Schizosaccharomyces pombe: one gene and its partner. Changing the gene in region 1 together with any one later gene gives a genetic interaction. Each region holds a gene or a part of one and is shown on either strand. Other genes may lie near its edges.

The links.
Region 2: of ecm33 (region 1) and knh4, extra expression of one rescues a mutant of the other (dosage rescue), as found in Schizosaccharomyces pombe (one study listed by BioGRID).

Annotation. Positions count from the first base shown.
Region 1 is NC_003424.3:1,566,457-1,578,440, reverse strand, and holds ecm33 (extracellular leucine-rich repeat domain, receptor L domain-like Ecm33), read left to right. Parts: upstream 1-6,851; 5' UTR 6,852-7,180; coding exon 7,181-8,446; 3' UTR 8,447-8,828; downstream 8,829-11,984. Other genes in the region: protein Not11, read right to left, coding at 1-127; mediator complex cyclin-dependent protein kinase subunit Srb10, read right to left, coding at 413-539, 605-1,587; SCF complex, Cul4-RING and CLRC ubiquitin ligase ligase E3 subunit Rbx1, read right to left, coding at 2,413-2,420, 2,465-2,555, 2,619-2,768, 2,957-3,031; SPOM_SPAC1705.02 (uncharacterized protein), read right to left, coding at 9,138-9,225, 9,281-9,377, 9,572-9,578; Tf2-2 (retrotransposable element/transposon Tf2-type), read left to right, coding at 10,224-11,984.
Region 2 is NC_003423.3:1,961,280-1,973,313, forward strand, and holds knh4 (protein knh4), read left to right. Parts: upstream 1-9,327; 5' UTR 9,328-9,634; coding exon 9,635-10,588; 3' UTR 10,589-11,520; downstream 11,521-12,034.

The DNA of each region.
Region 1 (11,984 bases):
TAGAGTTATCAGCCTCACTCATTAACGTTAGAGCATGTTGAAATTTTTCTAAGTCATTATCGTTAGGCGCTTGATGTAGTAGACCAATTTCTGCAAAGCTAGTGTTTTCCCATTCCTTACCCAACATGGCTGTTGGAATCTTCCCTCTAAAACAATAAGAATAATGAGTCACAACGTGGATGTACTAGCAAAAATGTATGGTTTGAACCATATATTAGAATAGTTGAAAAAAAATTTTAGTATCTCAATGGTCAAAAATATGAATAAATAATCGTGAGTTTTTTAGGTATTCTTAAATAAAACGACGGTGCCCTGCGTAGACAGAATATCAAATATACGTCCAAGAAAAGGCGAAATATTTAATTGAAAATTACAGATAATCTTTTAAATAGCTTAAGGGAAGCATTAACAATCAATTTCCTTTAAAACGTTTACTTTCGGACCTTAGTGAAGTAGATAGTACGCGTTTGGAGGAAACCTCGGAATCATCTTCTGAAATTCTCCTTTCTGGATAATGAATAGGTTGATTTAAAAATGGGCTAAAAAGTGAGTTAGTAAAAGCTTATTTCTTTCGATGATAAATAGGAAAAGGAAGAACACGTACCTAGTGGTCCATAATTTATCGGAAGTAAAAAAAACGTGTTCCAAAGCTTGCTTAGCAGTTATGCGTGATTTTGGATCGTATTGTAGCATTTTCATCAGTAGATCTAACCCTTGCGGATCCCGATTTTTTACGGTTTGATACCACTGAGGAAGCAAATTATTCCAGTAACGAACTTCAAATGATGATAATTGATAGTACTCTGGATAATTTTTGAGACCTGGCCAGCGTTCTTCTGTTGGTGTGCCTAGTAACTCCATTATGCGTAGCATTTGAGTACTCTGAAAAGGAACGACTTTTTTATCTTCCATTTTTATTTCATCTCCTTTGAAAAGAGGAGAAAGAGCAAGCATTTCTCCATAAATACAACCAATTGCCCAAACATCTATTGCTGGGGTATAATCGTGAGCTCCCAAAAGTAGCTCTGGCGCACGATACCAAATAGTAACTACTACACGATCGCTGGAATAAAATGGTAATATGGGATCCCGAATGAGCCTTCCCAGCCCTAGGTCCCCAATTTTTACCTTGCCTGTAGCTGTAATCATTATGTTTGCTGGTTTCAAATCTCGATGCATAATCCAGTTTTCATGTAGGTATGCTACACCATTAATGATCTGCCATAGAATACTTTTTAAAATTGATGGTGGAATTTGTCTTGTTCTAGATCGGCTATGGAAATGAATAATTTGCAACAGATCGTGTTCGGCGTATTCAAAAACCATGCTAATTGTGCCATCTTTGAGTAAAACTTGAACCAAGCTAACTATATTTTCATGCTGAATTTCTCTACACAGCATCATTTCACGAATAGCACTTTGAGAAACGCCGGTTTGTTGAGCATTCGAGCTTACTTGCTTTGACTCAGCTTTGAACTTTTTAATTGCAAACAGTCGTTTATCATTCGAATTAGATGAAACCGCTTTATAAACCTTTCCATAAGTTCCAGATGAGATAAACCCAATAATTTTATAACCGTCTTTCATGCTGAAATGACCCTACCCTATCAAACCTTTAAAGAGATGGATATATACACATTCAATCACATAGGGATGCTTTTTACAGTCTTTATATAAAAAGTATCCGACTTTTTAGTATCACTTAAAAAGTCAGATGAATGTAGGTCTCTCTATAGTGGGAAGTGACGAAGGCGACAGAAACATTAGTATTAGGCGAATAAAGAGTCAAAGTACCACGAATCTTTTTATGCCTACCCACTATTAACGAAAACACCAAGTCTGATAAACTGAAGGTTTTAAACATCAGATGGTAATTTTCATAAAGCTGTTTGTTCTTATTTAAAAGTTAACTGAATTTGTGAATTGATTGGCAAGTATAGAAAATCCGTGCACTACTGAGCTTTTGTATCTCACCACTGACATTCTTCTCGAAAGCAATGATTCGCATTCTGTCATGCGATATGCAGCATAATGTCTGTATGCCTATTCAATTTTAACAATAGCACTTTAGAAGTATGCCATTTCTTTTGATGATTTAAGTAATGTTCTAATTCTTCAAGTGTATACAAAGTAGTGATATAATGTCTTAATTTATATGATGTGTAGTTAAAAACTGTCTGTAGGAAATTTTATTTGACAAGCAATAAAATAAATTGATATATTCGTCCACTATCTGAGTAATTGGAGTAAATAAATATAAATAACAATTCAAAGTCACATGGAAACTTAAACTAGCCACAAGTAGTCATGATTTTAGGAAATTTTAATTGATTCATGTCATTTCATTAATAAAACGCTCTGCTCCATTGAAATATTTTTACCAACAAAAAAGTAAGTACTTAATAAATGTTATTAATGACCTGAGATAAAGTTAGTAAAGTAGGCTCGTCTTAATATACCCTACCATAACGTTGGAACTCCCATTCACGATTGTCCAAAGGACAAACATTCCTAGTGTTTAACCATCTTGAGATGCAGTGAAAGTGAAATGCATGCTTTTGTATTTGTTAAAAACAGTCCTGAGCTAAGAATACGAAAGAAATCGAATTAAAACTTACATTACAAGTTCCCCATGCCACTGTGCACTCTTGAGCAGCAGCAGAATCGGTGTTAGCTTGACACTCAATACATAAGTCCATAATATGATTTCTGCAGATAGCACAGTTATCTACAACAATGTCCCATTGCCATAATGCTACAGCATTCCACTAAATTGAAGGTAAGCAATATGAATCAGAAGAACTCATAAAAAAAGCAAAGAGAGTAAACTAGTACTTAAGTGTATGCTTATTTTAAAATAGCAAATATATCTTTGGGTATTAATTTTCACAGTTTACTTTGCTTTATGGCAAATTTGATACACATGAAGAACATGATCATAAAAATAATGACGAACCTTTTTAATTTCAAATCGAGGAGGTTTTTGTTCAATTTCCACCTCCTTCTTGTCTATTTGCATTTCATCTTCCATTGTGATGAGTAAAATAGAGCAAAGCCGCTACTTCGTTTTAAGATGAGATGTTTAAGCGGTGTGATAAAGGGGGTTGAAAATTGCAGCTTCGCTAAGCAATACTCAAACATAAGATAATTTTTGGAGTAATGTAATAAATTTTGCTAAAACACAAGTATTTAATATAATAAATAATGGATCATGGATCTTTCAATCGCAAAATGCGTACTCAAAAAATGAAGGATGATTATTCATCTGCTGTTTCATGAGTGTTTAGCACTATATCTATTTAGCTACATTAAATTACTCAGTTTGTTTAAATGTGTAAACTTTTAATTCTATGTTACATGATGACAATACAAGTTTCTTAGATATTATTTGTATTATGTGTGCTCGTTAGACATCTATTGAATAAGTTTTGTATATAATATCGAAGTACTGAAGACGGTTTCCTACAAACGTTTCAACCAAAATTAGTAAATAGCCCTATTTATCTATAATATTGTACCTTCTCTAGCATATCAAATTGAACACATTCAGCGAATTTTTCTGAAGTAATAGAGCTATTTTTTATTATTGTATTTCATCCAAATATAAATACCTTGGAAGTGAAATATACAAGGGAAGTTAATTCCAAAATTGATTTATTTTTAACTTGTATTGACTCTGAAATTCAAGACTGATTGAAAAAAGCTTTATCCATACAATTAATAAATAAACCATCTCAATATAACAATCGTAGAACAAGATGCAGTTAATGTTTATTTTAGTCCAGCATATTCGTCTTCTGATTACAAAAGTTTTCAAAAGTAGGTTGCACTATTTGTTGTAAATGGTCTTTGCTAGTATGCAAAATTAATAATAGTTTACAAAACTTGAAAAATAATGAACACAAGAATATCATTTCTATAGATCGGGTGTATCTTTACTAGGATTTTAATTTCCGATTATACACAGCTGCTGCCTCCTGTGGCTCATTTGATTACTATATTATTGCGATCGTATAGTCATTTGTACTAAACAAACCTCGTATATGGCTTTTTTTTGTAAAAATTTCTACTAGTTTGACTGCTTATATTTTGCTAAAAATGTCTTTAAAATGATCGGCATCAAATTGTATGGTAATTTCGTTGAGTAAACATTCGTATCTACAGTGATTTCATCGTCAACATCGGATTTCCTTCAATTTTTGAAAGTTATCATCAAAGAGATTTAAATGATAGATGGAATATATTAAGCCGAAAAATCTGGTTTTCAAGTTTACATCTGTTAGCAAATTTTAAAAGGATCTACAGCTAAGTACCGTGCTAAGAGCATGCCAAGGGGTTTTGAGATATCTCGCTAAGTTTAAAACCAAAATACTGTGTAGCTATACAATGCACTAAAACTGGCAAAGTATAATAACGCGGAAGCTACGTTCAAACTATTGGAAATGTAACCTGCCTAACGAGACGCAAGGATATTTGCATTGGGGATTGTCAGCTTGAAGTCGAGCTGAATGAAATGCTAAGCTTAAAATCAAACAAATGAAATTTATAATTAACTATCTTTATGCAAGCCTGTGCATATTAAAAATCGACTAATACAAAAACAAGAAACAAATTGAACTTGTTAGTAAAACGAAAGAGAACGGTAGCGATACTTCGTTGAGGCAAGCATGTTTTGGAATAAGTAGTTTTTTAAAAGTTTGGAGCCTGTCTACAAACATTTTGCAACATGAAGAGATCATAGCCTACGGATCTTGAATTTGAGGAAAAAATGCTAATGTACTTTTACTTATTTACATCGCTCTGTCATTAATTTTGTCTTTTTTTTTTTTGTAAAAATACTCAATTCTCTAAAATATATATCCCCGTCAAATGCCAAAAGAGCAAACAAAATAAAATTGAATAAGTAAATAAATATAGCCTGTATGCAAGGATACGAAATTTTAAATAAATAAAAAAAAGCGCGGCTCAGATAAATTAAAGATATACTTTGTGTATTAAAAATCAATTTCTTTTATAATCGCAGCGATTAACTACTAACTCACGTCACACAAGAGAACAAATAAAAAAAATAAAAAAAAAATAAAAAGGTTCCAAATAGCAAAACAGTCTTAAATGAGTGCTTTACTCAATTTGTATAACGGGCATCTCCATCAGACTACAACGCCGCTTTTTACTTGAATATTTGGACGGTAATTATGATTACACTACGAATGTAAAAAATAGGCAAGTTACAGTAATCAAAGTTAAATTTTTAATATGAGTTGATGTGTAATCGCTCCTATAAGATTACTTCGAGATAGAAGGTAAAGGAATTTATAAAAACCATGACGGAACTAATCACCTTAAGATGCTTTTTAACAAGTACCCGAAATCTCTGGAGTTAATCATTTCAACTTTGTGTAATAAATGATGCAAGCATTCTACTGACTTAATATTCATATACATTCAACAGTCTAGCTTACAGTGCACATGTATAGCAAAAAAACATTTTATGTTTCAGCATACATTTTATTACCTTGGAGTACTAGCTTCTAAATACAATACATATTCTCCAATTAGGGCATTTATTCTAGATCAATATTTAAAATATCCACATTCATATTCTATTCCTAAATCATGCACAGTAGTCTAGAATTGTTCAACCTTCAACAATGATTAAATAATTTTCTGAAGCAAATCATCCTAGACAGTGGAAGATAATATAGCTTATTCACAAAAAAAATAAACATAAAATCAACTTAAAAATCATTTATGCCTTTCAACATTATTTCTGATTAAACTGTATTGCCAAAATAATTTTGTAGACTGTTGTTTGCTATTTCTTAAAATATTGAACAAATTTGAATAATCAAGTAGTTTTTTTCTCACTCAGTGCATCAAAAATGGGAAATATAAATTACTTAAGTTTTAAAGTAATAACTGGATGTCACACAAAGATGAAATACACAAAGGCCAAAATAATCATCGAAACTACAAGAAGTTAAAAAGTAACAGGTAAATGCTTCTGAAGTACAGTACAGTTCAGTCTAGTCAATCAGTTGAATACCGGTATGACCTTTGCAATCTTTTCTCCTTCAACTTGCTAAGCATATCCACTGCGCCTCTACTTCTCTACAGCACGGTAAATACTTTGTTTACATGACTAAATAAATCTGTTTACACTGCAGATGGACAGATCGTTGCTGCGGTAACGGTAATTGTCAGTAAACAAATGTCTGAAACCATTTACGGAAACGTAAATACCGTTGCATATGAGCGAAAAATAAACAAGATTAGCATAGCTGGAAGAAGCATTTTCTATACCAAATAATATTTATGATTTTCTGCTTTTTTCTAGTATAAAAAAATCCTACCTCTTCAGAGATCTGGTGACTGTTATTTTTCACTAAAACAAACAAGTGATGTCACGTTTAAAAGCCCGTGAATGTGACTTTTTAAGGGTCAAACACTGCGGTTTGTGTCTCTCCCTTTAAATGTTTATGCGATGAATAACCTTAAAACCAAAGCTGGAATACAAATGAAGTTTTGACAGAAAATACAGCATTGTTTACATTGAGTGTTTACAATTCTCAATCTGTAAAGAGTCGAACGCCTTGTTGTCATGCCAATGTGTTTAACGAGAGTCAAATTACTCGTAAACGTACAAGTTTAGCCAATAAACGGTCTTCAAAGTTTGGTCGCAAGCTCCTCGTTGGTGTTGTGGCCTAGCAACCAGCAATACACAATTACTCATTGTTTACAGTAAACATTGCAACGAAATTGCGCACCTCGTTGTCCCCCTTTTTATCTAACAAGTCACAATTCTTTGCATTTTCCGGGTATATATAGATGTCTTTTCCGCAACTCGCTTCATCCTCAGCGAACTACATTTGAGTTTTAAACACTCTTTTACTTCTTTATTCATTACCCACGCATTCATTTATAAAACATATCATATATATTACCCGTAATATATAGCATATACCTTTTATAAATACCCGCTATTCTGCATATCTTTTGTGGTCAATCTCTGTCTTTTTGATTATTACTACGTTTCCCCTTATAAACGCATTTTACATATTTGTCCTCTTTCTCTTTTGATTTAACAAATTTACCTTCATATTCCCTTTTTGCATCCTAAAAACTATCTTTCGTTATATTTTTCCAATCATATTTCTACATTATATAGTCTAAAGTCAATATGTTGTTCAAATCATTCGCTCTCACTCTTCTTTTCGCCGCAGCTCGCGTACAAGCTGCTTCCAACTGCTCCAGCGGCCCTTACAATATCTCCGCCCAAGGTACTCTTGACGAGCTTAACAGCTGTACTGTATTGAATGGTGATTTGTACATTTCTGATGCTGGTAACTCTGGCATCACCACCCTTACTGTTAATGGAATTGAGTCCGTTCAAGGTGATGTTGTGGTTTCTGATGGTCAATATTTGACCTCTCTTTCCTTCCCTTCTTTGAAAAACGTTTCTGGTGCTTTTAACGTTAACAACATGATCCGCATGAACAACCTTGCTACCCCTGAGCTCACTTCGGTTGGAAGCCTAAATCTTGCTGTTTTACCAAACTTACAGGAGCTTCAATTTAACGCTGGTCTTTCCGATTCTGATAGTGTCGTAATTGATGACACTCAACTTCAAGCTATTGACGGTATCAGTTTGGATTCCGTCACTACTTTCCAAGTAACCAACAATCGTTATATTCAGGAGATCACCATGGAGGGCCTCGAAAGTGCTCAAAATATCCAGATTTCCGCTAACTCTAAGGGTGTAAGCGTAAACTTCAGTAAACTTTCTAACGTTACCACTGCTACTTTTGATGGTATCAGCAACGTCTTTATTGGTAACTTGAAGAGTGCTGCTGGTAACTTGTATTTCTCTAACACTACTCTGGATAACATTTCGGTTCCTTACCTTACCGAAATCGGACAAAGTTTTGCTGTTTTGTACTCTCCTGAGCTTACTTCCCTCAACTTCCCTAACCTTACCACTGTTGGTGGTGGTTTCGTTATTAACGATACTGGTTTGACTTCTATTGATGGTTTCCCCGTCATCTCTGAAATTGGTGGTGGTTTAGTTCTTCTCGGTAACTTCTCAAGCATTGATATGCCTGATTTGAGTGATGTGAAGGGTGCTCTCACTGTCGAGACTAAGGCTACCAATTTCACTTGCCCTTGGTCCAATGATGACAGTGTTATTAAGGGTGATGATTTCACTTGCCAAGGTAGTGTTGCTACCATTTCTGCTACTAGTTCTTATGATTTGTCTTCCACTGTCTCTGCTACTAGTGGATCTGCCACATCTGCCACTGGTTCTGCTACCACCACTTCATACTCTTCTGATTCTTCTGCATCTTCCTCTTCCTCTTCCTCCCATGAAAGCTCAGCCGCTTCTAACGGCTTCACTGCTGGTGCTTTAGTTTTGGGATCTCTTTTGGTTGCTGCTCTTGCTATGTAAGTGTCGTCATGAACAATTTGTTACTTTTTTTATCGAAAGTATAGAAAATTAATATTTGAATGTTACCGATACTTATTTGGCGAGATGAGCTGGCTTATCTCTGGTGATGTGGGTTACTGAAATGTTTATTAATACAGGCCGTTTTATTTTCTTCTTTATAATCGGGTGTGATTAAACATATATCTTTAGAAGAGATTAACTTCTATATGATCTTAGAAAAGTGTTGAGAAGGTTTGATGTTCCTTTTCTTTAATTTGAGCTTTAAATTATTTATATGAGTTGCTCTTAGGCTATTTTCAAAGTTATTGATTTTGCCTTTTTTATAATTAGTCTATCGAATATTTGCATTTAGTATATCTTGAATTTGATTTTTTTAATTTTTAATACAAGGCGCGCGGTAGTTAGTAATAAAATAATTTGATTGGCAAAGATGAGACATAAGGCGTATGATATGCATAACCGAGAGTTAAGAAATTACGAGTAAATGATTAAGTAACTTAATGGGATGTTATTATAGATTGCAAGACTACCGAGTTTATTTACTCTTTACTTAGAAATATAGATTTTATTGTTTTTATCAAAATAGAGGTAAAATTGAAGAAAAATAACAGAATAAAGAGCCAATGTACTGTGGAAAAACACCACTTAAAAGGATGGAATAAACTGCCCTTTAACAAAATTTCGAATATAGTTATTTTTTTCCTTTTGAGCCACCGTTGGCTTCCGCTGCCTTGCGCTCATCAGCTGCACGTTGTTTAGCACGCATAATTTCAGCTTGACTTAAAATATTAGCTAATTGGTTTTTAAACAAAATCCTGATTCCATTCCACTTACGCTTCAAGACGTTTGGTAGGATCTCCGGCTTGTTTCTTTTTAGAAGCTTGAGACTTCTTTAAATTGCGAGCACGGTCAACATCACGCTGATTTCCACCTAGTAACATTAGTAATTACAAATTATAGATATAGTTTTAATTTTAATGAATATCAGAATGTGAAAAAGGCTAAAAGAATACTAAAAATCAATAAGCAAGTATAAAAGAGATAGTTCAACGCAGCTATTCCCTGCTGAGAGGGGGATAATAATTTTTAGAATTTCTTCTTCATTCTCAAAGGTTTAAAACTTACGAGACATCTTAGCAAAAATTGTATCATCAATCAAACTGCAACTCACACTTCTTATGAGGTAAAAAAGAAAAACGGGCAATTTATGGTGGTGACCATAGCTTAACGAAATATAGCATATATCGTTAATGTGAAATATTTGTCAGCAATACTACACTACGCTATAATACACTACGTTGAGTATCACTATATGTCACATGTTCTAATTATATATCGTACCATGTATGATACGATATGGAGATTGATCTTAATGATAATCTATTAAGATCAATATTATCTGAATACTATAAATAGAGCTACTGCTGAACCTCGTTCCTCAGTTCAGTTATGAGCTATATTAGTGATAGGTAACATTATAACCCAGTTAATACAATACCTATACTCAGTTGCTACTTATACAACCTGTGTATTGTAATATAATAGATCACAAGGAAAACTCACCGCAGTTCTACGTATCCTTAAATCAGATACCAAACTGCGTAGCTTACAATAACTGAACTCTTGTGATCTACAATTAACTCCTTTTAGGAAAAAGGAATTATTGAATAAATATATATCATAAATATATATATTTCTCTCCTTCTGGGTTCAAAGGAGAAAGAACTTTGGAAGGACTGTTATCCCTTTTGAAATCTCCCAAAGGGAAACATATACAATGTCCTACGCAAATTATCGTTATATGAAAGCAAGAGCAAAACGATGGAGACCAGAGAATTTGGATGGAATTCAAACATCAGACGAACATTTAATAAACCTTTTTGCAAAAATATTATCGAAGCATGTACCAGAGATAGGGAAATTCGATCCTAATAAGGATGTTGAAAGTTACATTTCAAAACTTGATCAACACTTTACTGAATACCCTTCATTATTCCCAAATGAGCATACTAAAAGACAGTATACATTGAATCACCTAGAAGAATTAGAGCAACAATTCGCTGAACGCATGTTTTCTGAGAATGGAAGTCTTACATGGCAAGAATTACTCAGACAAACAGGGAAAGTACAAGGATCCAACAAAGGTGATCGTTTAACTAAAACATTTGAAGGTTTTAGAAATCAATTGGACAAAGTTCAATTTATAAGGAAACTCATGTCAAAAGCAAATGTTGATGATTTCCATACTCGCTTGTTTATATTATGGATGCTGCCATATTCCTTAAGGAAATTAAAGGAAAGAAATTACTGGAAATCAGAAATCAGTGAAATTTATGACTTTTTAGAGGACAAAAGAACAGCCTCGTATGGTAAAACTCACAAGCGTTTTCAACTGCAAAATAAAAATCTAGGAAAAGAGTCCCTTTCAAAGAAAAATAACACCACTAATAGCAGAAACCTGAGGAAGACAAATGTTTCGAGAATAGAATACTCATCTAACAAATTCCTAAATCATACTAGGAAACGTTACGAAATGGTATTACAAGCTGAACTTCCAGACTTCAAGTGCTCAATACCCTGTCTAATCGATACGGGCGCTCAAGCAAATATTATAACAGAAGAAACTGTTCGAGCACATAAACTGCCTACCAGACCCTGGTCAAAAAGTGTGATATATGGTGGAGTTTATCCAAATAAGATTAATCGCAAAACAATAAAACTTAACATAAGTCTAAATGGAATATCAATCAAAACAGAATTCTTGGTTGTAAAGAAATTTTCGCATCCAGCTGCTATCTCCTTCACAACATTATATGACAATAACATTGAAATATCTAGCAGTAAACACACGCTCTCTCAAATGAACAAAGTTTCAAATATTGTCAAGGAACCTGAGTTACCAGATATCTATAAAGAATTCAAAGACATTACTGCAGAAACCAATACGGAAAAGCTACCAAAGCCAATAAAAGGGTTAGAATTTGAAGTTGAACTAACTCAAGAAAACTACAGATTACCTATCAGAAATTACCCGCTACCACCGGGAAAAATGCAAGCTATGAATGATGAAATTAATCAAGGATTAAAAAGTGGAATTATACGAGAATCTAAAGCCATTAACGCCTGTCCAGTAATGTTCGTTCCGAAAAAGGAAGGCACCTTGAGAATGGTGGTTGACTACAAACCTTTAAATAAGTATGTCAAACCCAATATATATCCGTTACCACTTATTGAACAATTACTTGCTAAAATACAAGGTTCTACAATTTTTACTAAACTTGACCTCAAAAGTGCCTATCACTTGATACGAGTAAGAAAAGGAGATGAACATAAACTTGCTTTTCGCTGTCCTCGTGGAGTTTTTGAATATCTAGTAATGCCTTATGGCATATCTACAGCTCCAGCACATTTTCAATACTTTATCAATACAATACTTGGTGAAGCCAAAGAATCACATGTAGTATGTTATATGGATGATATTTTAATTCATTCAAAATCGGAATCTGAACATGTAAAACATGTTAAAGACGTTCTACAG
Region 2 (12,034 bases), on another chromosome or scaffold:
AAAGCAGGTCCTTTAAAATTAATTCTTTCGACAGACGTTCTACACCTGTACTATAGGAAAGAAAACTCAAAGGACATGTCGAAACAGTTTCACGATTATAATCGTACAGAGCTTCTGGTAGAATTGTTCCGTCTGTTAACAAAAGGAAACGAATTTGGGAGTCGGATGTTTTAGCCATATCACAAGCAAGCATAAAAAGGTTATGAGTATGAACACCTAATCCATAAGCGGTAAACATGATAACATCTTCTGGAGGTTCGGCAGTCTCTAGTTTTTCTAAAAAATCGCTCCTGTATTCTTGAAATTTCTGGGACGTAGTGGTTGAAGCACGAGGATCTAGTGAGGGCAAATGGAAACTTTCATGGAAAAGGGGAATGCGTCTCATTACGGTGCTACAGGCAAGAAGTAAACCAACGATTAATAAAAGCTTTTTCATGGTGCGTTTCCTAATTAATGGATACATCATATATGTAACTGAATTTAACAATCTTTTGCAATAGTAAGCCCAAAGCGCACCCTTGTTAGCAATAACAACCATGAAGCGATAACTTAAGTTCCGTAAGAGAAAATAAGAAAGGAGAATGAAGAAAGAAAAAAAAAACGAAAGGACCAATTTTAAATATGTACAGCACCAAGATGAGTCCTGTCCGAAAGTAAAAAAACCACTTCGAGGACACACGTAAACAAGGGTAATCTAAAAACAAAGAATAGGCTCGTCTATTGAGCGATACTATCCAATCCAAACACTTTTAAAAGGATTATTAAGAAAATATACAATTTACGATCCCTTTGTTTCGTATTAACACTTCGTATCGATCAAATAAAAAATCCTTACTATTCTTTCAAACAAAGAACGTACTGTATCACATTCAATGTTACACTGATGGAGTTATTATCTTATTTGAACAGCAGACATAAAAAATTCGAAACTTTTCAAAAAGAGGAAGGAAAGAAATCGATACGAAAGGTAAAAAATAGTGGAAATCAGGCGGACTCCAAACGCCAGATACAAACACGGATATTAGTAATATTAAGCAGGGAAACCGAGCTGGATGTTTATTCCTTAGCTATATAAAACTAATATTTAATATTAAGCCTTTATTACCACTTTACCAAGCCTAAGAGAGAAAACTCGGTGTTTATTGGAAAAGTGGTACTAACAAGTGTGGGAAGTATGTTTGACAGATTCATTACATTAGAGGCAGTCAGCCAAGCGTATAAATAAGGGGTATGCACTTGTCCGAATATCACGCTTTACAATTGAAAAGTTACAAATTCAAGTTTTTACTAAAAAGAATTCTTTCCAATCGAGTTGGATGGAAACGTGTTATGTGCGAGTCAGTCTGTGTATACTACATGAATCAACCGCATTGGCGTTGAAGCGAAAGGAAAAAGAGTACTATAATATTATATTTGCGACTGAAGTTTAAGAGATAATTGATTTTGATTATACGTAAAAAGAGCAAGCTGTTGTAGTGAGAGGAAGAACAACTTTTAAACAGACGTAAATAAGATTCTTTCTGTAAGGTTAGCATATTTAAAACAGTAATTTTAATTTTTTAACCTTAATTAGCTTTTCATTCTGTCTTTGTGGGTTTATTTGCCAAGTGCATTAGCCAGCACAATGTATTTAAACAGACTGGTCTTTTGATCAAAAGTCATTGCAATATGATCAAAACCGTCGAGACTTCATAACGGCTATTAAAAGCAACTCGCTTAAAAAAAAACAGATGAATAAATTTCAAATTGTCATTTTTCATACGAACGACATACTTCTTGACGCAAAGCAATGTCAGTGTGCATAGAAGACATATTTTGAAGATGGAGAAAGTTTCAAAATTTGGAACCCTCAATTTTACATATTTTTACATTTTTGAGTAAGATTTTCTGGTCTTTAGAATGAATCCCACCCGTGTTTGAATGAACGAGTTCAGATCAATAATGAAACACAATGTTAAATTTTGGATTAATTGCGAAATAACAGATAACCTTGTACCTATAGGAAATTCATAAAAGATTTATATCCTTTCTCGTTATAGGTGATACTATTTCCATATGTTGAAAGCTTTGAATTTTCATCTTTAAGTATTTGCGTCTATCCACATTAGCAATGTCAATTTTTCCTTTATATGTAAATATTTTTACCTCGATTTAATGCATTTAGTAGTACTTCATATGCTGTAGCACCTTTCAGGATAATAGTTCACACTATGACATTCAAATATTTACCCACCGAAAATATTTTTCGCTGAACAGTGTTATAAATAATTTGTTAAATAAATAAAAAGAAAAAAAAGATGGTTAAAAAAATAGATTAAACTGGCAATACAGACGCTGGTGGAGAATATCTCATGGAAGTATATTAACAAAACTTGCAGATGCTACATTACTCAATTCATGACTGGTTGATATAAAGTCAATTATTGACAAGTCAAACTTCAATTTCTTCTTATACGCAGTACATTAAATCAGGTACGCGCAATTAAAGTTACTAGCTGTTCATTTTTGTTAACTTTATATACGCTATTATGATTTCAGAATTTGAGCTGCAATAATAGATTGTTCATTATCTATGTTTTATTACGGTATACAAATCTTGAATAGGCGACACAGTCAATTCAAATTGAAATTTTATCTCAATTGAGTTTTATAACAAATGTTGAAACCAAAAAAAAAAGGTATTTAATCAAACGAACTGTGAAACTCTCAAAAAAATTAAGAATTAGGCAGATTGCACTTTGTTTTATAGGAAACTTGTTACACTGGGTTTTTGTATTGTTTTCGCCTAATCCAATGCTGAATTTTTATGATCTTAACAGCTTCCTTTTTTCTTTTTTTTTTTTTTATTTACACTCGATCCTCGTCTTTTCGCTGTTTCATCAATCCAACAGATTAGCCAATTATTGTATAATATCTTTATATTTTATTTTTTGATCTGCCTTTTTATTTTGAATAGAACAATAAAAGTAAGGAAAATATCAAAAAAAAAACAGAAAAGAAGTAAGAAATAGTTTAGAGCTTTTAACGAAACCTCGACAGCTACGTGATTAATCATTTTCATATGAGTAAGCATGCAATGCAATGCAAACATCAGCGGATTGTTTATATATGTATATCCATATATAAATGTAAAAAAGTAAATAAAATCTAGAGATATGAGTGGATTAAGAAAGAAAAAACCGAGGAAATTAAAAAACAACTTTAGTAACAATTACATTCCTTAAAAAACGCTGATTATTCTTAACGATTTAGCATTAGTTAAACAAATCTCAAAAATTAACTTTTACATTGAGGTTGAATCTAGCTTGTGTAAGAGATTCCAAGGTTACTGTTTGTATCATCACATGAGTCTAAAAAATTGCTTTAATAACTTATGTAACTCTTAGCCGTCTAAGGCTTTCTTTACCTTACACTCAACACATCCTCTGAAATTCATAAACCAATTTATTTGATCCTATAACGAAGCGCTTGGCAAGTTTGCGTAGCTTTCGCCAACGCTGCTACGTTCATTTTCGTTGTATATATTACCATAACAGCCATACGATCTGTATACGCTTTAAGGATTAGTAAACCAAAGAGAATAGAAGGACTATAATGTCAGCAATACTACACTACGCTATAATACACTACGTTGAGTATCACTATATGTCACATGTTCTAATTATATATCGTACCATGTATGATACGATATGGAGATTGATCTTAATGATAATCTATTAAGATCAATATTATCTGAATACTATAAATAGAGCTACTGCTGAACCTCGTTCCTCAGTTCAGTTATGAGCTATATTAGTGATAGGTAACATTATAACCCAGTTAATACAATACCTATACTCAGTTGCTACTTATACAACCTGTGTATTGTAATATAATAGATCACAAGGAAAGCTCACCGCAGTTCTACGTATCCTTAAATCAGATACCAAACTGCGTAGCTTACAATAACTGAACTCTTGTGATCTACAATTAACTCCTTTTAGGAAAAAGGAATTATTGAATAAATATATATCATAAATATATATATTTCTCTCCTTCTGGGTTCAAAGGAGAAAGAACTTTGGAAGGACTGTTATCCCTTTTGAAATCTCCCAAAGGGAAACATATACAATGTCCTACGCAAATTATCGTTATATGAAAGCAAGAGCAAAACGATGGAGACCAGAGAATTTGGATGGAATTCAAACATCAGACGAACATTTAATAAACCTTTTTGCAAAAATATTATCGAAGCATGTACCAGAGATAGGGAAATTCGATCCTAATAAGGATGTTGAAAGTTACATTTCAAAACTTGATCAACACTTTACTGAATACCCTTCATTATTCCCAAATGAGCATACTAAAAGACAGTATACATTGAATCACCTAGAAGAATTAGAGCAACAATTCGCTGAACGCATGTTTTCTGAGAATGGAAGTCTTACATGGCAAGAATTACTCAGACAAACAGGGAAAGTACAAGGATCCAACAAAGGTGATCGTTTAACTAAAACATTTGAAGGTTTTAGAAATCAATTGGACAAAGTTCAATTTATAAGGAAACTCATGTCAAAAGCAAATGTTGATGATTTCCATACTCGCTTGTTTATATTATGGATGCTGCCATATTCCTTAAGGAAATTAAAGGAAAGAAATTACTGGAAATCAGAAATCAGTGAAATTTATGACTTTTTAGAGGACAAAAGAACAGCTTCGTATGGTAAAATTCACAAGCGTTTTCAACTGCAAAATAAAAATCTAGGAAAAGAGTCCCTTTCAAAGAAAAATAACACCACTAATAGCAGAAACCTGAGGAAGACAAATGTTTCGAGAATAGAATACTCATCTAACAAATTCCTAAATCATACTAGGAAACGTTACGAAATGGTATTACAAGCTGAACTTCCAGACTTCAAGTGCTCAATACCCTGTCTAATCGATACGGGCGCTCAAGCAAATATTATAACAGAAGAAACTGTTCGAGCACATAAACTGCCTACCAGACCCTGGTCAAAAAGTGTGATATATGGTGGAGTTTATCCAAATAAGATTAATCGCAAAACAATAAAACTTAACATAAGTCTAAATGGAATATCAATCAAAACAGAATTCTTGGTTGTAAAGAAATTTTCGCATCCAGCTGCTATCTCCTTCACAACATTATATGACAATAACATTGAAATATCTAGCAGTAAACACACGCTCTCTCAAATGAACAAAGTTTCAAATATTGTCAAGGAACCTGAGTTACCAGATATCTATAAAGAATTCAAAGACATTACTGCAGAAACCAATACGGAAAAGCTACCAAAGCCAATAAAAGGGTTAGAATTTGAAGTTGAACTAACTCAAGAAAACTACAGATTACCTATCAGAAATTACCCGCTACCACCGGGAAAAATGCAAGCTATGAATGATGAAATTAATCAAGGATTAAAAAGTGGAATTATACGAGAATCTAAAGCCATTAACGCCTGTCCAGTAATGTTCGTTCCGAAAAAGGAAGGCACCTTGAGAATGGTGGTTGACTACAAACCTTTAAATAAGTATGTCAAACCCAATATATATCCGTTACCACTTATTGAACAATTACTTGCTAAAATACAAGGTTCTACAATTTTTACTAAACTTGACCTCAAAAGTGCCTATCACTTGATACGAGTAAGAAAAGGAGATGAACATAAACTTGCTTTTCGCTGTCCTCGTGGAGTTTTTGAATATCTAGTAATGCCTTATGGCATATCTACAGCTCCAGCACATTTTCAATACTTTATCAATACAATACTTGGTGAAGCCAAAGAATCACATGTAGTATGTTATATGGATGATATTTTAATTCATTCAAAATCGGAATCTGAACATGTAAAACATGTTAAAGACGTTCTACAGAAATTGAAAAATGCGAACTTAATTATCAATCAAGCAAAATGTGAATTTCACCAATCACAAGTAAAATTTATAGGGTATCACATTTCGGAAAAAGGATTTACGCCTTGTCAAGAAAATATAGACAAAGTCTTACAATGGAAGCAACCTAAGAATCGTAAAGAATTACGACAATTTCTAGGTTCTGTCAATTATCTTAGGAAATTCATTCCAAAGACATCACAATTAACACATCCACTCAATAATCTTTTGAAAAAGGATGTACGCTGGAAATGGACACCAACACAAACCCAAGCGATAGAAAACATTAAACAATGTTTAGTTTCTCTCCGGTGCTACGACACTTTGATTTCAGTAAAAAGATTCTACTGGAAACTGATGCTTCAGATGTCGCTGTAGGAGCCGTATTGTCTCAAAAACATGATGATGATAAATACTATCCTGTTGGATACTATTCAGCAAAGATGTCTAAAGCACAATTAAATTATAGCGTATCGGACAAAGAAATGCTTGCAATCATTAAGTCTCTCAAACATTGGAGACACTATTTAGAATCCACTATCGAACCTTTCAAAATTTTAACAGACCATCGAAACTTAATTGGTCGCATTACTAACGAATCCGAGCCTGAAAACAAACGTTTAGCTCGTTGGCAATTATTTTTACAAGACTTCAACTTTGAAATTAACTACAGACCTGGATCAGCAAATCACATAGCTGATGCCTTATCCAGAATTGTTGACGAAACAGAACCAATTCCAAAAGATTCAGAAGACAATAGTATCAACTTTGTTAATCAAATCTCGATAACCGATGATTTTAAAAACCAAGTGGTTACAGAATATACGAATGATACAAAATTGTTGAATTTACTAAACAATGAAGACAAACGAGTGGAAGAGAATATCCAACTCAAAGATGGCTTACTAATTAACAGTAAAGACCAAATCTTATTACCTAATGATACTCAGCTGACTAGGACAATTATTAAAAAGTATCATGAAGAAGGTAAATTGATTCATCCAGGCATTGAACTTCTTACAAACATTATATTACGTAGATTTACGTGGAAAGGAATAAGAAAACAAATACAAGAATATGTACAGAACTGCCATACATGTCAAATAAACAAATCTAGGAATCATAAACCTTATGGACCTTTACAACCAATTCCCCCATCAGAAAGACCTTGGGAATCTTTATCAATGGATTTTATTACAGCTTTACCAGAATCATCTGGTTATAATGCACTTTTCGTGGTAGTTGACCGATTTTCAAAAATGGCAATCTTAGTACCTTGTACGAAATCCATTACAGCAGAGCAAACAGCTCGAATGTTTGATCAACGAGTTATTGCTTATTTCGGCAATCCAAAAGAAATCATTGCAGATAATGATCATATTTTTACTTCCCAAACGTGGAAAGATTTCGCACATAAATATAATTTCGTTATGAAATTTTCGTTACCATACAGACCACAAACTGATGGACAAACTGAGCGTACAAACCAAACTGTGGAGAAATTACTAAGATGTGTATGTAGCACACATCCGAATACATGGGTAGATCATATATCCCTAGTGCAACAATCTTACAACAATGCGATACATTCAGCAACTCAAATGACACCTTTTGAGATAGTACATCGCTATTCACCAGCTTTATCACCTTTAGAGTTACCTAGCTTTAGTGACAAAACTGACGAAAACTCTCAGGAAACGATCCAAGTATTTCAAACAGTTAAAGAACACTTGAATACAAACAACATAAAGATGAAAAAGTATTTCGATATGAAAATACAAGAAATTGAAGAATTTCAACCTGGAGACCTAGTTATGGTCAAAAGAACGAAAACAGGTTTTCTTCATAAATCCAATAAATTAGCACCTAGTTTTGCAGGACCGTTCTATGTGTTACAGAAGTCGGGTCCAAACAACTATGAATTGGATCTTCCAGATTCAATCAAGCACATGTTTTCATCTACTTTTCATGTTTCTCACCTAGAAAAGTATCGACATAATTCAGAACTCAATTACGCTACCATTGATGAGTCTGATATTGGAACAATTCTTCATATCCTAGAACATAAAAACAGAGAACAAGTACTCTACTTAAATGTCAAGTACATTTCGAATCTAAATCCGAGTACTATTATGTCAGGATGGACTACATTAGCTACAGCGCTACAAGCGGACAAAGCAATTGTCAATGATTATATTAAAAACAATAATCTAAATATCTGAGAACATATGACTTATCCTCAGATTTACATAGAAAATCTTGGGGAGGGCAATGTCAGCAATACTACACTACGCTATAATACACTACGTTGAGTATCACTATATGTCACATGTTCTAATTATATATCGTACCATGTATGATACGATATGGAGATTGATCTTAATGATAATCTATTAAGATCAATATTATCTGAATACTATAAATAGAGCTACTGCTGAACCTCGTTCCTCAGTTCAGTTATGAGCTATATTAGTGATAGGTAACATTATAACCCAGTTAATACAATACCTATACTCAGTTGCTACTTATACAACCTGTGTATTGTAATATAATAGATCACAAGGAAAGCTCACCGCAGTTCTACGTATCCTTAAATCAGATACCAAACTGCGTAGCTTACATATAAACTGGTTTAGCAGTATGCGGTAAAAATTCTAATATTACTTACAATCCTGTCTTATACTTCGTTATTAGCAAAAGGAATTTATTAGTATTCTAGTAAATGGTAGTATATCATGTCGATAGTTTAGCAACAGAGAAGTAGAGTTCCGTAGCTTGATAACGCCACGCTCATTGGTGTTTCTAGTCCAGCAATGAATATTGCTGGAAAAGATCAGTTACGTAAACCGGAATTGAAGTGATGTGTTAGAGAATAGAATTGCTGGTATACCACAGAACGGGCTGTGTATAGCACAGTACGTTACACACCATTATACACCTTAAAACCTTATCCCTCCAATTCACTATGTTGTTCGCTGAGCTAGCCAGGATGGTTGCGATTGTTTTGTCATAATTTAATTTCGTGATTTTTGCAAACAAATGACCAATTTCTTCTTGCTTTCTCTAATTTTAAAATTGAATGGAGTGATACATCACCAAAATATTCCATCGTCTTCTCTCACTTGTTTCCCTTCCTTTTCCCATAATGTCTGAGATTTGTTTACATTTGAATGAATCTTTGTTTACATCTGAGCGAATCTTTATTTACATTAAGTGATGGAGTGTATACGGGTTTACCCGGTTCCCAGTTAGTTACCCTGACAACGCGTTCTCATCGTTACCTTAGCGGACTCGTTACTTACGTTGCGAGGTGGCTCAGGTGCAAGAAAGCCACCTCCCTGACCCACTCACGACGCTAAATCCGTGTCACATGACCATTCGTTACTTGAGGGGTTTTTCAAATATAAAAGGAAAGGATGCCGCAGCAAATTTCTACTCAGACCCAACTACGAGTATTCATTTTTGATATTTTTACTTGTGAGTTTAATTTCCGTCGTTGGACTTGAAGCTCCTTTATCTGTCTTTATATATATTCACCGATCACTAATTTCGTTCGATCCTTTAGCAAAATTTCATTCGTTCGAAAACGGAAGATTTTTTCATTAACACCTTTATTTATCTTTCATTTCTTTGGTAATAAAATTTCTCATTGATTGCATTCATCTATCTATCTACATCCCATCCATCCATATTATCTGTCTTTTTTTCCAACTTTCACATACTTACATAATATCATCTATCCATCATGAAGTTGTCTTTCATTTTATCTACTCTCGTCGCCGGCGCTTTGGCATACAATGAATTCTCTGCCCCTGGACCTAATGCCGTCCTTCAAGAGGGTGGTGGTGTAAACACTGTTTCTTGGAGCAATTTGACTTCTAGCACTGTCACTTTGACTTTGTACCGCGGTGGTAACTCTGCACTTACTCCTATTGAGACCATTGCTTCTGACATTGACAACACCGGTACTTATCTCTGGAACATTGCTACTTACTACGAGGCTGCTGATGATTACTTGCTTGGTCTTAGCTTTGACGGTGGTGAGACTTATTCTCAATACTTTACTTTGCAAGCTTGCTCTACTTGTACTATCTCCACTTCTAGCCTTAGCTACAGTGGTACCATTTCTTCTACCTCGATCGCTCCCTCTATGATTGGTACTCGTACTTCTTCCTCTTACTTTATCACTTCCTCCTCCTCTACTCCCTCCTCTTCTTCCTCTTCCTCTAGCTCCTCTCCCTCTAGCTCTTCTTCCAAGTCCAGCTCCAGCTCCAAGTCTAGCTCTTCCTCCAGCTCCAGCTCCAAGTCTAGCTCTTCTTCCAGCTCTAGCTCCAAGTCCAGCTCTTCTTCCAGCTCTAGCTCCAAGTCTAGTGCTTCTCCTAGCTCTTCCAAGTCTTCTTCCAAATTCTCTTCTTCTAGCTTTATTACCTCTACCACTCCAGCCAGTTCTTCTAGTAGCGGTGCTATTGTTTCTAACGCCAAGACTGCTAGCACTGACGACTCTAGCTCTGCCAGCTCTGCCACTTCCAGTGTATCCAGCGTTGTCAGCTCTGCTAGCTCCGCTCTCTCTGCATCTGCTTCATCGGCCTCTGCTTCTGTTTCTAGCTCCGCCTCTTCTGATGCTTCCCCTGCTTTGAAGACTGGCATCAATGCATTGGTTGCTGTTGGTGTTGTTTCTGCTATTGCCTTGTTTCTTTAATTGTGGTATCCTAGAGGTATGATGAATAGCTGGTAGGGTTTAAAATAAATTTGCTTTTCTCTCTCTTTAGCCCTATCTTTAAATTACAAATTTTTTTCTTTATTTCATTCATCTAATCACCACTTACTTTTATTCATCACAATTTTGACATGACGTATCTTTTTTTTGATATTTTTGGTCGTCGTTTTCATTAGTATCAACTTTTTTTTATATTTTTTTGCATTTCATTTTGTCTCATATTCAATTTTTTTTCAACTTTGATCATCATTGCTTTGCCAGTGTGTTGTGTTTATTGTTTGTAAATCTCTAAAACTCTTTTCGATGATGGTATTTCTCCAATGGTGTACTGATGATGGTAAAATTTAACATTTATGTGACATGGTTCTCTTCTGTAAATGTTTTGCAGCGTACTATTGTTTTATCATTTGGAAAGTATGGTGTGCTTGCATGAAGTCTGGAGGTTGTACAAATCTTTTTGTTTTGGGGGCATCTGGATGTTTGTCGCACTCGTATTTTGTACGGTGACAATTTCGATAAGTCTTTTATCATCTGTGCCCGATATGTTGGAAATGTTGAATAATTGGATATCAATGTGCAATTACAGTATAAGGAAGACTTTGAATTCTGTTTGTCTATAAAGTTGCGTTTGACTGCAAAACATTGAATATTTACAGTCGGTTTACTTTGTATACAAAAATGTGTAATCCTTTTACTTTACGAATTTACGTTCGCTTGTCTTACTGAATCTATCTATAGCTTGGACCACGACGGGTGCTTTGAAGGGTTGGCTGCTAATAATTCTTCTTTGATCTAATCCAGTATAACTTCCTATTTCGGCATTCAAAAAGTCTATAGAGTTCTGTAATATCGCGAATTGGTTCATCTTGGCAAGACAAATTGCTCATTACTTTGTAAATCAATATAATTCAAACACTGTGTCTTTCATAAAATGACTTTTTTGCATTCGCATAAGTGTATTGATCTATCTTTCTTTCTTTTTTAGCTTTATAATAAAACAATGAATACTGCATGATATAAGCGTTACACAATTCTTTTTCCCTACTGCTGCAATAAGTCTTTTAAAGAAGTTGGATTTAAGCCAACAATAGACAGGTATATCTGTGTATGTTGAGTCAATAAAAACTAAAAAGCCTGTTTATCTGTAGTACTATAACTTACATTGTTTTTCTGGTTTGAATATATATTAACGAACTATTCTATTAGTAATGTATGCTCACAACGAGTACACGTCGCTCTTTACGTTCCATAAAAGGTACTTGATTCTTCAGCTAACCAGCGCTAGACTTTTTTATTAGTATATCAGAGGAGTGAATTTTTGAAACTTGTGCACTCGACATTATTCTCTAACAACACTTTATTATAATTATTGAGAACCGTTTAATGGTTGTATAGCGTACACATTTGTAAATATAGATAAGGAAGCCT